Linked DNA regions of Neurospora crassa OR74A. The protein of the gene in region 1 purifies or fractionates together with the protein of each later gene. This does not show direct contact. Links are inferred from orthologs where the notes say so. Each region holds a gene or a part of one and is shown in the gene's direction. Other genes may lie near its edges.

Evidence for each region.
Region 2: the proteins of NCU00210 (region 1) and NCU05645 purify together in Saccharomyces cerevisiae (affinity purification with mass spectrometry; 6 studies listed by BioGRID). This does not show direct contact. The link is inferred for Neurospora crassa OR74A from reciprocal best matches to the Saccharomyces cerevisiae genes CBC2 and LUC7.
Region 3: the proteins of NCU00210 (region 1) and NCU01695 purify together in Saccharomyces cerevisiae (affinity purification with mass spectrometry; 6 studies listed by BioGRID). This does not show direct contact. The link is inferred for Neurospora crassa OR74A from reciprocal best matches to the Saccharomyces cerevisiae genes CBC2 and NRD1.

The regions. Positions count from the first base shown.
Region 1 is NC_026503.1:3,018,604-3,022,289, forward strand, and holds NCU00210 (nuclear cap binding protein subunit 2), read left to right. Parts: upstream 1-1,425; 5' UTR 1,426-1,616; coding exon 1,617-1,685; intron 1,686-1,783; coding exon 1,784-1,905; intron 1,906-1,993; coding exon 1,994-2,387; 3' UTR 2,388-2,868; downstream 2,869-3,686. Other genes in the region: NCU00209 (hypothetical protein), read right to left, coding at 1-82; NCU00211 (mitochondrial ribosomal protein subunit L31), read right to left, coding at 2,930-2,982, 3,053-3,282, 3,355-3,404.
Region 2 is NC_026506.1:1,219,775-1,222,984, reverse strand, and holds NCU05645 (U1 snRNP splicing complex subunit), read left to right. Parts: upstream 1-1,379; 5' UTR 1,380-1,509; coding exon 1,510-1,537; intron 1,538-1,609; coding exon 1,610-2,436; 3' UTR 2,437-2,710; downstream 2,711-3,210. Other genes in the region: gpit-1 (GPI transamidase component GPI16), read right to left, coding at 1-391, 466-878. UniProt on the Saccharomyces cerevisiae protein: Component of the U1 snRNP particle, which recognizes and binds the 5'-splice site of pre-mRNA. Together with other non-snRNP factors, U1 snRNP forms the spliceosomal commitment complex, that targets pre-mRNA to the splicing pathway.
Region 3 is NC_026502.1:2,700,356-2,704,299, reverse strand, and holds the start of NCU01695 (RNA binding protein Nrd1), read left to right. Parts: upstream 1-1,144; 5' UTR 1,145-2,107; coding exon 2,108-2,236; intron 2,237-2,312; coding exon 2,313-2,558; intron 2,559-2,771; coding exon 2,772-2,874; intron 2,875-2,965; coding exon 2,966-3,944. UniProt on the Saccharomyces cerevisiae protein: Plays a role in sequence-specific regulation of nuclear pre-mRNA abundance.

The DNA.
Region 1 (3,686 bases):
TTTCCTCGGCCTGCTCAAAGAGCTTATGGCCGGGGTTTGGCTCCTGGAGCCAGGGCGCCGAGAAGCTCCGGATTTTGGGCATCCCGACTGTGCTTGGTGGTTTTGTGCTAAGAGCTGTCTGTTGTCGCTATACTATCCAACTCGAGCCTGATGAATCCTACAGATGACGGTGGTTCGTGTGGCGCAATGAAAACCGAAGTTGGTGTCTGGCTAGGCAGAAATAGTAGCTTGTGTTGAGGTCCTGCTATGTCCTAGCATGCACGGGCCGGTTTTTGTCGTCGTGCTGCACTTCGCTTTCTCTGCTGAAGTAATGTATGTAGGTGGGGAGGTAATTGGCTATGTAGGTAGGCAGGCGCACTATGGTCGAGGTACGTATGTATTTGATGTACCGGTACTATTAATGTGATGGCGGTTCTCGGTTTTTGAAGATGAAAAAAAAAAAAAAAAAAGGTGATCAAGAGCAAGTAGAACAGAAGCCAAGGGAGGGAAGACAAGGAGAGAGATTGGGATCCCTTTTTGAAGTGGCAGGCCCCTCGATCGATCCCATGGGAGAAAAAGCCAGGAAAGCGAAGTTTGCTAGTGGTCTCGGTTGGCTGGTCAGGATGGTAACAACAAGGTTTGACTAGCGTGTAGTGCTACGGACCTGATGGATGCCCGTGGATGGACGAGTGCTGGATGCCACTATTGTCCAGTCCGAGCCAGTGCTGTAAATGAGGCGTCCAGGGCGTCACTAGAGGCGTCCGCTTCCGTGCCTATGCCGTATATTTTCCGTTGCTTGCCTTGATCGATCGTGTTAGCTTCATTTTAGCGCGTTTCCACTCCTTCCACAGCCCTTTAGTCCGTTTCAACTGTCCGCCGGTGTTCAGTCCAGACCGTGCTCGCCGCCTCGTCTCACACCATCGGTCATTGATCAACAGGAGACAGGCAGGCCGCCCGGGATGAGAGGGGATGGAATGGCCGAATGGAGGTCTTAACGGAGACCTAGCTGTATACATACTATAAATGGTAAGCCCGAGGTAGGTACAGTTGTGCTGTGACGCGCCTGTAAATTGGGTGCCAGATTGCGGTCCAATCGGCTGGCAATGGTTGTTGGATCAACGACAAAGCGCCTCCACCAAGTCCTCCTGCCCTTGCTTCCATCGCTCTGCCCTTGCCTGCCGTCGTCATATTTGCGGGCACCTCGTAAGATAGGGTACCTGACCCACCACCAACGGCTTCCGTCGCCCGTTACAGTGCCAAGACTACCTGGATTGCCATGCAGTGATGTCCGATGCACTGTGACACTGTGCGCCAACAGGACTAAGTGTAACTGACCTGAGCTGAACTGAACTGTGAACGAAGCCTGCAGTGCTGCTGTCGCGGTACACGGGCACACCAGTCGCGCTCAGAAAGTAGCTGCGCCTGTACTTCCACTTTAGCGGGCAACCTAAGTTACCTCTTAGGTAGGTCCAATTCCATTGGCAAGGGAAACCACTGCATCATCCCCATCGACGTCTCAGAACTCCAAACCATTGAACTTCCACTTGGGCTGACAGCTTTTGATTTTCCTTCTTCTTCGCAGTTGCAGGGCACCTTTCACCCAAGAGCAGATAATCCATCTTCACTACCAGGTAACCATGTTGAACACTCGCCAAAGGAGCACCGTAGAGCGCCTTGACAGGCCAAGTGCATACTTTTTCAACAAGGTGAGTGCTCCTGACGGCATTTCCATGCCCAAACATTGCCAATCTCTCCTGTCCATAATTAGCACCCCGTCGACCGCTGACCCATCCACTCAACACAGAATAGGCGCAACAGACGTCACGACCGGGACCACCGCGATGGAGAAAACGAAGACAGTAACATGCATCCCGAAGCGTTCGATGACCCGTTGAAGGATGCGACCACGCTCTACGTCGGCAATCTGCAAGTTTGCCCCACGCTGCCAGTCCTTAATTAAAAAAATCAAAAAAAAATCAAAAGAAACAAGAACTAACCGAATGTACCTCGGCAGTTCCTTCTACACTACCGAAGAACAGGTTTACGAACTCTTTAGCAAATGCGGCGAGATCAAGCGCTTGGTCATGGGCCTCGATCGCTTACAAAAGACACCGTGCGGTTTCTGCTTCGTCGAATACTACACCCATCAGGACGCTCTCGATTGCATGAAGTACATTGGCGGCACCAAGTTGGACGAGCGCATCATCCGAACCGATCTCGACCCAGGCTTCGAGGAAGGGCGACAGTACGGCCGTGGAAAGTCGGGCGGCCAAGTTCGTGATGAGTACCGTGAGGACTACGACGAGGGCCGCGGTGGTCTTGGCCGGCAAATCCAGGCCGAGAGAATGAGGGAGCATGACCACAAGCGCTACGACGATAACGACGAACAATACGGCCGCTTGCGCTAGAGTTGTCATTGCATGGGAGTTACGTGGGACAATGAGGGAGTGCATCATGATCCAGTGCACAGATATTCAACCAGTCGTCATGACAAATCGACACAAAATATGCAAGCCGGCTCTGAAATTACGAATTTTGTTCATTCAGGGCAAGTGGAGGCGGAACAGAGAAGCGTAAAAGACAAATACCCCCTTGGAAGACATGATATTCGTTGTTGTATTGGTATCTTGCTATGGTATTTCGGGAAATTATTGATTTCCCATCCATTCGGTATGGCTCCACACATTCTTCTGTGATGCTCGCCTGGCCGTGTTTGCGCTGCTCTCTGCAGTGGTATCTCAACATGGAGCGAGCAGGAGTGTCCATGATGGACAGGACCTCCAAGTCAGTCAGTCTCTTTGCGAGACGAGACAGGAGGCCTCCTCTTCTTTGCCCCAAGCAAACGGTCCTGTTAGCGGTATCTCCAATGTCACCCATGCCATTTCGCTGCGTAATGTTACAAGTGATATACATGCTTGCACGATATCGTCCATCGTCCGGGTCGAAGGTCTTAGTAACCGGGAGGGTTGACTCTCTGGGACACACGGGTCCACTTGGGAAGCTCTGGAAAAGGAATGCCGTATTAGCCTTGGTCTTTGACTGCTGTGAAGTGATGCACAAGGGTGGCCCGTACTGTGGATGCCCTTGCGGTACCTCTTCTCCTTGCGGTCGAAGATGGTGTACTTGTCCTTGGGCAGCATCTCGGCCTCGGTGGGCATCTCAGCCCTCCAGCGTTCCACCGCCTTGACGGTCTCACCCTTCTTGGCAAGAGCGTTCTCAATGGTGGCGACGACGTTGTCAACGGCCCTCAGTCTGCGGCGCTGCCTGAGCTTCTGGAACTTGGACATGCGCCATGGGATCTTCCTGTTTGCCGCGACATGATTAGCATTTCCGGTAGAACCTTTGGCGCAACTGCAACATAGGGTAGTCGCTTACCAAAGAAGACCCCCGGAGAGGGGGTTGGTGAATCTGAAAGCCCCAAACATTGTGGTGGTGGTGGTGGATGTTTGGGGGGGGAGAGCTGCAACCGGTTCGCTTCGTCAGGATGGGTCCCGAAGGTATCGCGGGAATCGGCGCGGGCGGGCGGTCGTCGTCCAAAGTCCAAACAGTCCCGTCCAAAAAAAATCGCGGGTCCGTTCGCCAACCCCAACCCCGAAAGAACACCAGCTCGAGAGCGGATGCCAAGACCCAGTCTCAGATAGTAGGCCTGGATTCGCCCCTGTAAGGTCCACTGTTCAGCCTCGTGGAGCCCCCATCTTTCTGTAAAA
Region 2 (3,210 bases), on another chromosome or scaffold:
CTTGGATCGATCAATGTCCAATACCATGTCAATGCTTTGCTCGATCTGCAACACACACTCGCCATCCTCCGGGCACACGGGCCGGATATCGATCGCCATTGTCTGCCATGAGGAGTCGAAGAGCTTATGTCCGTCAAGCAACGACGCAATACCAGCCTTGCCCTTGCATGGAAGAAGCTTAAGAAAGGGTGTCAAGTTCTCGGTACAGACAACTTCGTGGGGTAGCACGCCGTAAAGTAGGTGCATGTTCGTCGCGTTCGCGTCGATGTGGTTGCCCTCGGGCTGGAAGGACATGACGGGACGGGTAGTTCGGGTGCTATCGATGAAGTTGAGAGAAGCACAGAAGAGGCCAGACAGCGCATTGGTGAGCGTCAGCCATTTACGGTCGGCCCTACATGGTGTCTGTAGTTAGTCTCTCGCCCAAGTCATGATCCGCGGTGTTGTGTGGGTGGTGGTGAAACATACTCCTCGTCTGTATCTGCCTCCAGCCACGCCCACATCTCAACACCTGTTCCACCCTCGCGCGCACCATTCCACGGCCTTGCGCCCCAGCTCTCGGCATCCCATCTTCCCAGACTAAACCTCAAGTGTAACTCGCGCGTGCCGGCATGCTCGAGAATCTGGCCCAGCGACCTGGGGAAGAAGCGGAAATTGTGCGCCTCGAAGGCAGAGAGCGATGTGTTGGAGCGGAAGTTGAAGCTGGCGAGCAGAGTCGACAATGGTAGCGGGCGCAATATTAGCTGTTCGTGGTAGTCGGATCGGGAGTTGGAAATGGAATCGGCAGGGGAGGAGGAGGCATTGGCGATCGCAGTGTAGGGCGAGAAGCAAAGAAGAGAAAGTAAGGAGAGTAAGAAAGAAGAAGGAAAGGATGGGCGCATTGTATTAACTGGAGTGAACGCTGTCTATTGCCGTTGTCTATCCATTTGCTTGATCTGTACGTCCACCGCAAAGTACCAAAAGCAATTTCCGGAGACAATGGCAAGACAGAAGTAGAAGTGGAAGACACGACGGCAAAGATGGTGACAGTTCACACCTAACTTTTAACTTTTGTTGGTGTTGCGTTGGGTGCCCTGGCTGCCGTCGGAGGGGATCGCAACTTGGGCACCCCCCCCCATTGCTGATGGGAGGTGCTGGAAGAGTGCCTGCCGCGCCCTGGCATAGCGGGACAAGACCCAGAAGGGAATTGTGGTTGATGACAGCACATTTCCAGTGGATGAACCGGGATTATAGCGGCAACAGGGGAATGGAGGGTATGTAAAGTGGGTCCACTTCCCCGGTTTCAGCGATCAGGTTCCATCCAGCAAGCAGCCTTGCATGCGCGGCTGACTTTTGCGACTGCATTCGACCTCCAAAATCTTGGGAATTTCTCCCAAACAAAACAAAACGTCAGCAACCGCGAAAGCGCTTTACCATCACCAGCCCTCGCAATTTCCGTCAAACCAAAACCTAGCGACGCCTATCGAACCCAAAACATTTTCATAGTAATAATTATAAACAACAAGACCAATCATGGCGGCCGAACAAAGAAAGCTGCTCGGTAAGTCGCATCCCCATACTTCCTCCCACCCCCCTACAAACTCCCACTAACTTCTTCACCCCAACCATGCAGAGCAGCTGATGGGCGGCGGCATCTCCTCCCGCTCCGCCCAACTCTCCCTCACCGACCCCAAAGTCTGCCGCTCCTACCTCGTCGGCACCTGCCCGCACGACCTCTTCACCAACACCAAGCAAGACCTCGGCCCGTGCTCGCGCGTGCACTCGGAAGCCCTCAAGGCCGAGTACGAAGCCCTGCCTGAACAAGAAAAGAAGAAGTACGGTTTCGACTACGACTACATGCGCGACCTGCAAAAGTACATTGACGAGTGCAACCGACGGATCGACGCGGCACAGCGACGCCTCGAAAAGACGCCCGACGAGATCCGGCAGACAAACGTGTTGCTCAAGGCCATCTCGGACTTGGGCACGACCATTGCGACGGGTCTGTTGGAGGTGGAGATCTTGGGAGAGCTGGGCGAAGTGGGGAGGGCGTATGACGAGCTGTTCAGGGTGCGCCAGGCGCAAGCGGCGAAGCAGGAGAAGGAGAGAGAGCTGAAGGCGCTGTCGGATACGAGTGGCCCGTCAGGCCATCAGAAGCTGCAGGTGTGCGACGTGTGCGGGGCGTACCTGTCCCGGTTGGATAATGACCGCAGACTGGCGGATCACTTCTTTGGCAAGATGCATTTGGGATATGCGCAGATGCGGAAGACGTATGATGCATTCCCGAAGGAGATGCGTGGACGGCAGAGGCCCATGGGAATGGGCGGTGGTGGTGATGATGATATGGGTGGTGTGCCAACGGGTCCTGGTGGACGACATGATGATTGGGGTAGAGGCCGTGGACCCAGGAGTGGCGGTGGCGGTTATCGTGGGCGTGGTCCTAGACGTGGTGGGTGGTAGGGTGCTTGAGGCGTCGATGTTAAGGGAAGAAACGGGGAAAGGAGATGGATACGATCCAAGATCTGGCGGAATCATGTGCATTGAAAGGGCGTTGGGGCGTTTTACACTATTCGAGCCTGGGATTTGAAGAAGTCGGAGCTTGTCCCTTTATGGTCTTTATTTTTGCAGCCCGCGTAGAGAAAAGAAGCTATTAGTTATATCATGAGAGCGCAACACACAGACAGGTATAGAATCGACGTTACCAGCAATTACACTTCAATCAATGCGATATAACTCGGGTTACCCTTTACATTGTGCATGATCAATTGCGGTTCCGGCTAGCAATCTCAATTCAGATTCTTGTGGTATCAATTCGTCTGTTCGCTTTTACAAAATCGCTGTTGTCTAGACATTTTTCGTATCACATGAAAGAAACACCTCGCTTCCATCCTCTACGGCCCAAAAAAAATGCCTGTGGTTTCCAGGACCCCTCTACAAGTCGCCCTCCCGAGGAAAAATACACCGAGTCGTCACCAACGGCAAGTTACTCCTCTGGTGTCGTATTATTCTCATCGGAATGCATGTTGGGACCCTTCCACCGACGCATTTGGGTGATATCGGATTCTGTTACCCATTTTATAATGTTTTCCGGGTTGTTATAATGGCGATAGGATTGTTCATCTTCAACGTGCTCGCTTTTCATATATTGAACATCCAGCAATGCTCTGTTACTTGCTGTAAGTGGCAAAACCTGGGATGCTTTGTGGCTCCCGGGTGTTTCTATTGCCCTCTCTG
Region 3 (3,944 bases), on another chromosome or scaffold:
GAATCCGCGAGTATGAGACTGGAGAAGCCCACACCGTAATCACCGTAGAGGCCGGCGCCAAATCTCCGTTTTTTGATGGATACAATATCCGGCCCTGAATGTGGTCAATTTGGATCATGAAGCTGAACATGGAACTCTGCGGGCCAAAGGTTCAATGTTTCTATCCGGATGTACGTGGAGGTAGCTTGGCCGAGCTGCCGAGCTCGAGCGGGTCAGGGGGTCGCTGACGCCGTTCTAAGGATCGAACGCGGGGCGGCTCCCACACGTGTGTTTCGGTTCCCAAGTCTCCTCCCGTCCATGCGCGCGGTAAAAGGATGGCCGACGACGGAAGACCGGAAGAATACCTGGACACGACCACGCTGAACACTTGCGGCACCGACATCATGTGCGCGTCTCTGCAATCGCATGTGTCTCGAGGGACAGCGGTTGTCAGACCAGACCTCAACATCGCGATGTCAAAACTGCTTGTTCACTCGCATCGATGTCGACACCGGCATGCATTGACGTCACGGCACCCTTTGGGCCTTTGGGACTACCTAGGTATGTACTTGGCCCTTGCGAGATCCCTAACTCATCCGGGGAAGCCGCCCCTTTTGACAGGTGTGGAAACGTTCCTGCTCCGGGTTTCCAGAAAACAATGTTGGAATTGCCAATTGATGGACGGATTGATAATAGATGAACCCGCCTGCACAATCTGTTCCCTAGCACGTCCTCGACACTCAACGCTCATCATCAATGTTCGTGGAACCTTCGGGGTTGCATGGAGAGTCGGATGGAGCACGCAACCGACTCCAGTAAGGGCTTCATCCAATCTCAGGTTGGATGTGGATCAACGGTTGGGGTTCCTAATTTACCGCAATCCGTCTCGGCTTTGTTGCCTTAGTGCCTCATGCTCTTGGTACGTGCGTCAGGCCACAACACGTCCGACACCTCTCTGCAAGGCTTTCGTTTGCTTGTAAAAAGAAGGTTTTCCGAGCCTTCAGTCACAACAGTTCGAGGCGGGTCATTCGAACCAATCAAGGCGTGATTGGGTGGCTCGAAAAAGTGCCTGCCAGTTCGTTCCTCCCCTCGGGCCACGCATCACAGCCACGGTGCCACAGCAGCACAGCACACAGGCAGCAGGGCAGGCAAACCGAAGCGACGAACGGATGCAATCGAACCCGACAGACGACTCGAGCAGAGTCAAGATCAGGGCAGCCACTACAGCCGAGTACCCACCCATACCTGCACCAACCACCGACCACTGGCACTCCCCCGTCCAGTCCACTTCTTCTACTTCTGCAACGACAACTTTTCTTTCTCCCCGCTTTCCAACCCCAACTCCCTCCTCACTTCTCGCATCACCACCACATCACGCTTTTGTCGTCATCAGCGAAAATAATCTTAAACGCCAACGGAGACCGCCTTCGTCAATCCAGCAATCCAGTAATCGACTAGTCGCCCAGGATTTGTCCATGCATCTCGACTCAGCACACGCTCACCTGGATTTTCTCACTTTCTAGTAGCCTCACAGTAAAAGGGTGCGCCCAGATCACATCCGCGCAGGTCAAGTCCTGATCTTGTCTGCCCTTCGTACAGCTGCTTTCGTTGCGGTTCTTGCACGTCGTCACAGCTATCCCCAGTTGGTGGTTTCCACTTCGCGCGTCACGTCAGAAAAATAAAAAGGACCACCGTATTCTTGCTCGCACACACGCCGGCCAGCAACATATATCTCTGGCCTCTCGGCTTCTCTTTTTTTTGCTAGGACTTTGCACTGGCCTACGGCTTCTGCGCTTGTCTTAAGACGCACAGAAAGGACAGTCTCTTCGTACAAGCTGCTCTCTTCTGAGTACCCGGTGGCGCGGGCAAATTGCAGCTTCGTAACCTCGGTGATATACGTCGAGAAGCAAGGAAAGCAGACCTTGGATGCCGACCTGTTTGAGCCTTAATCAACGTACTCCGTCTTTCCACCCGTGACAAAGGAGCATGGTATTGGCATAAAACCTTTAATCAGCCTTCACCGTATCACAACCGTACTACATCGCAGCTTGTATTTCCAAGCCCAACGGCCAAGTTGATTGCCGACTTCAGCTGGTCTTGCTCGATTTTCAAACAAAAATCATCCATCATGTTGTCGTCACAGGCGGCCGTAGCTGAACTAGAGAAGGGCCTCGGGGACATGCAAAACCTGAAACCGCCCGGTGTCTCTGGCTCGAAAATCAATAGCCTCACCATGCTGTGTTTGAACAACGTCCAGGTAAGAAAAGCGCCGTGTCTGGGCTCGACAGTATGCACGATGGAGGCACCAGAGCTAACCACACATCCTTCGACAGTACGAATCACAGCTGGTTCAGAAGTTATATACCCACTACAAGAAGACACCAAACACTCACAAGCTGGGCGTCCTATACGTCGTAGATTCTGTAACCCGCAAATGGTTGGAGAAGGCAAAGGCCCTTGAACAACCCGTCACCCTTGGTGCACAGGATGGCACCTATGCTGCCGGTGTCCATAGAGTGACTGAACTAATGCCCATGTTCATGAACGCCATCATCTCTTCGGCCCCCGAGGATCAAAAGGTACGCACACAACCGCACACTCATGTGCCGTCTTACACTTATACCTCCATTTCTGCCAAACGGACTAGACCCCGAGCACACTTGGGAGCGGCTGTAAGATCAGGCCACACCAGTCGTCTTCACTTTCCTAGACCATATCGTGCATCCATTTTTGGTTGTATTTAGTGTCCAGTATCATGTTGTTCATAAACTCACACCCGTATCGTCTTGTAGGAGAAGATCAAGAAGCTGGTCGACATATGGGAAAAGGGCCAGACGTTTCCTCCCGATATGGTCAACACCTTCAAGGAGAAGCTGAATGCTCATCAACAGCACAGTAGGTTTTGCCCGGATCCTCCTAAGCATATTCCCTTACGCGTGTGCGGTGCTCGTTGTTTGCCTGATCTAACTGTAGCGTGTGCCGATAGATGTCTCGACAACACCACCAGGCAGTCCCCCTCCCAACCCGCTGGCTTCCTTGCAGGCCACTAGCAGACCTCTCCCTACGCCTACAACTACCGCCGTAATGCCGTCCAACATCCTGGAGACCTTAGCAAATCTTGCCCGCTTGAATGCGAATGCGGCTCAGAGTAATTCCAGCGCGGCCGCCCCTGCTCCCGCCCCGGCCGCAACTGCGGCTGTGGCCCCTTCTCCGGTACAAATGGGGGTCCCGCAGATTCCTCCTGTTACTTCTTCCACGCCGCATCCCATGTTTGCTACTTCTGGCCAGCCTAGCAATGGAGCATTGCCAGCCGGATTTCTTCCCGGTGTGGGGCACCCGGGTATGCCGTACTTATCAGCATCGCAGCCGGCGGGGCAGTCGGTGAACATGCCACCGACGATGCCATTTGGCTTCCCAGCTCCGGCCGCACAGCTAGCTCAGCCTGTGCAAGTGCCAGGAGCAGCCCCTAGTGCGAATACCGCTACGACGGTTCAGCTGTTCGCCGCCCTCGCCGCCCAGGGCATCCCTCTTGACAAGATTGCCAGTGTAATGCAGCTGATGGGTCAACCAAGTGGCACCGCCCCGGCAGCACCTCCCCAGTCCGTTGCTCAGCCTCTATATGCCGGCTATCCTCCTCCTCCCCCTGCTGGCGGTGTATCTGCTGCCCCTGCATGGGAGGCCGTGAGACATGATGAATCACGTGATCGTAATGGCTATCATGATGGGATGAGGTCTCCAAATAGGCCTCGGGGTCGCTCTCGCTCACGCTCGCCGCGGCGCTGGGATGTCAGGGGGTCGCCTCGAGCCCGCGGTAACGATCGCTTTGATTATGGGCGGAGCACCCCGCCCCGTGGCCATCCGGATGATCGTGGTAGAGACCGGGATATGCGTATTCCCGAGTACCGACAACGGTCGCCCCCCAACCGTAGACATGAGAGCCCGGGTCAGGAGCCGCCCTCCGAGAA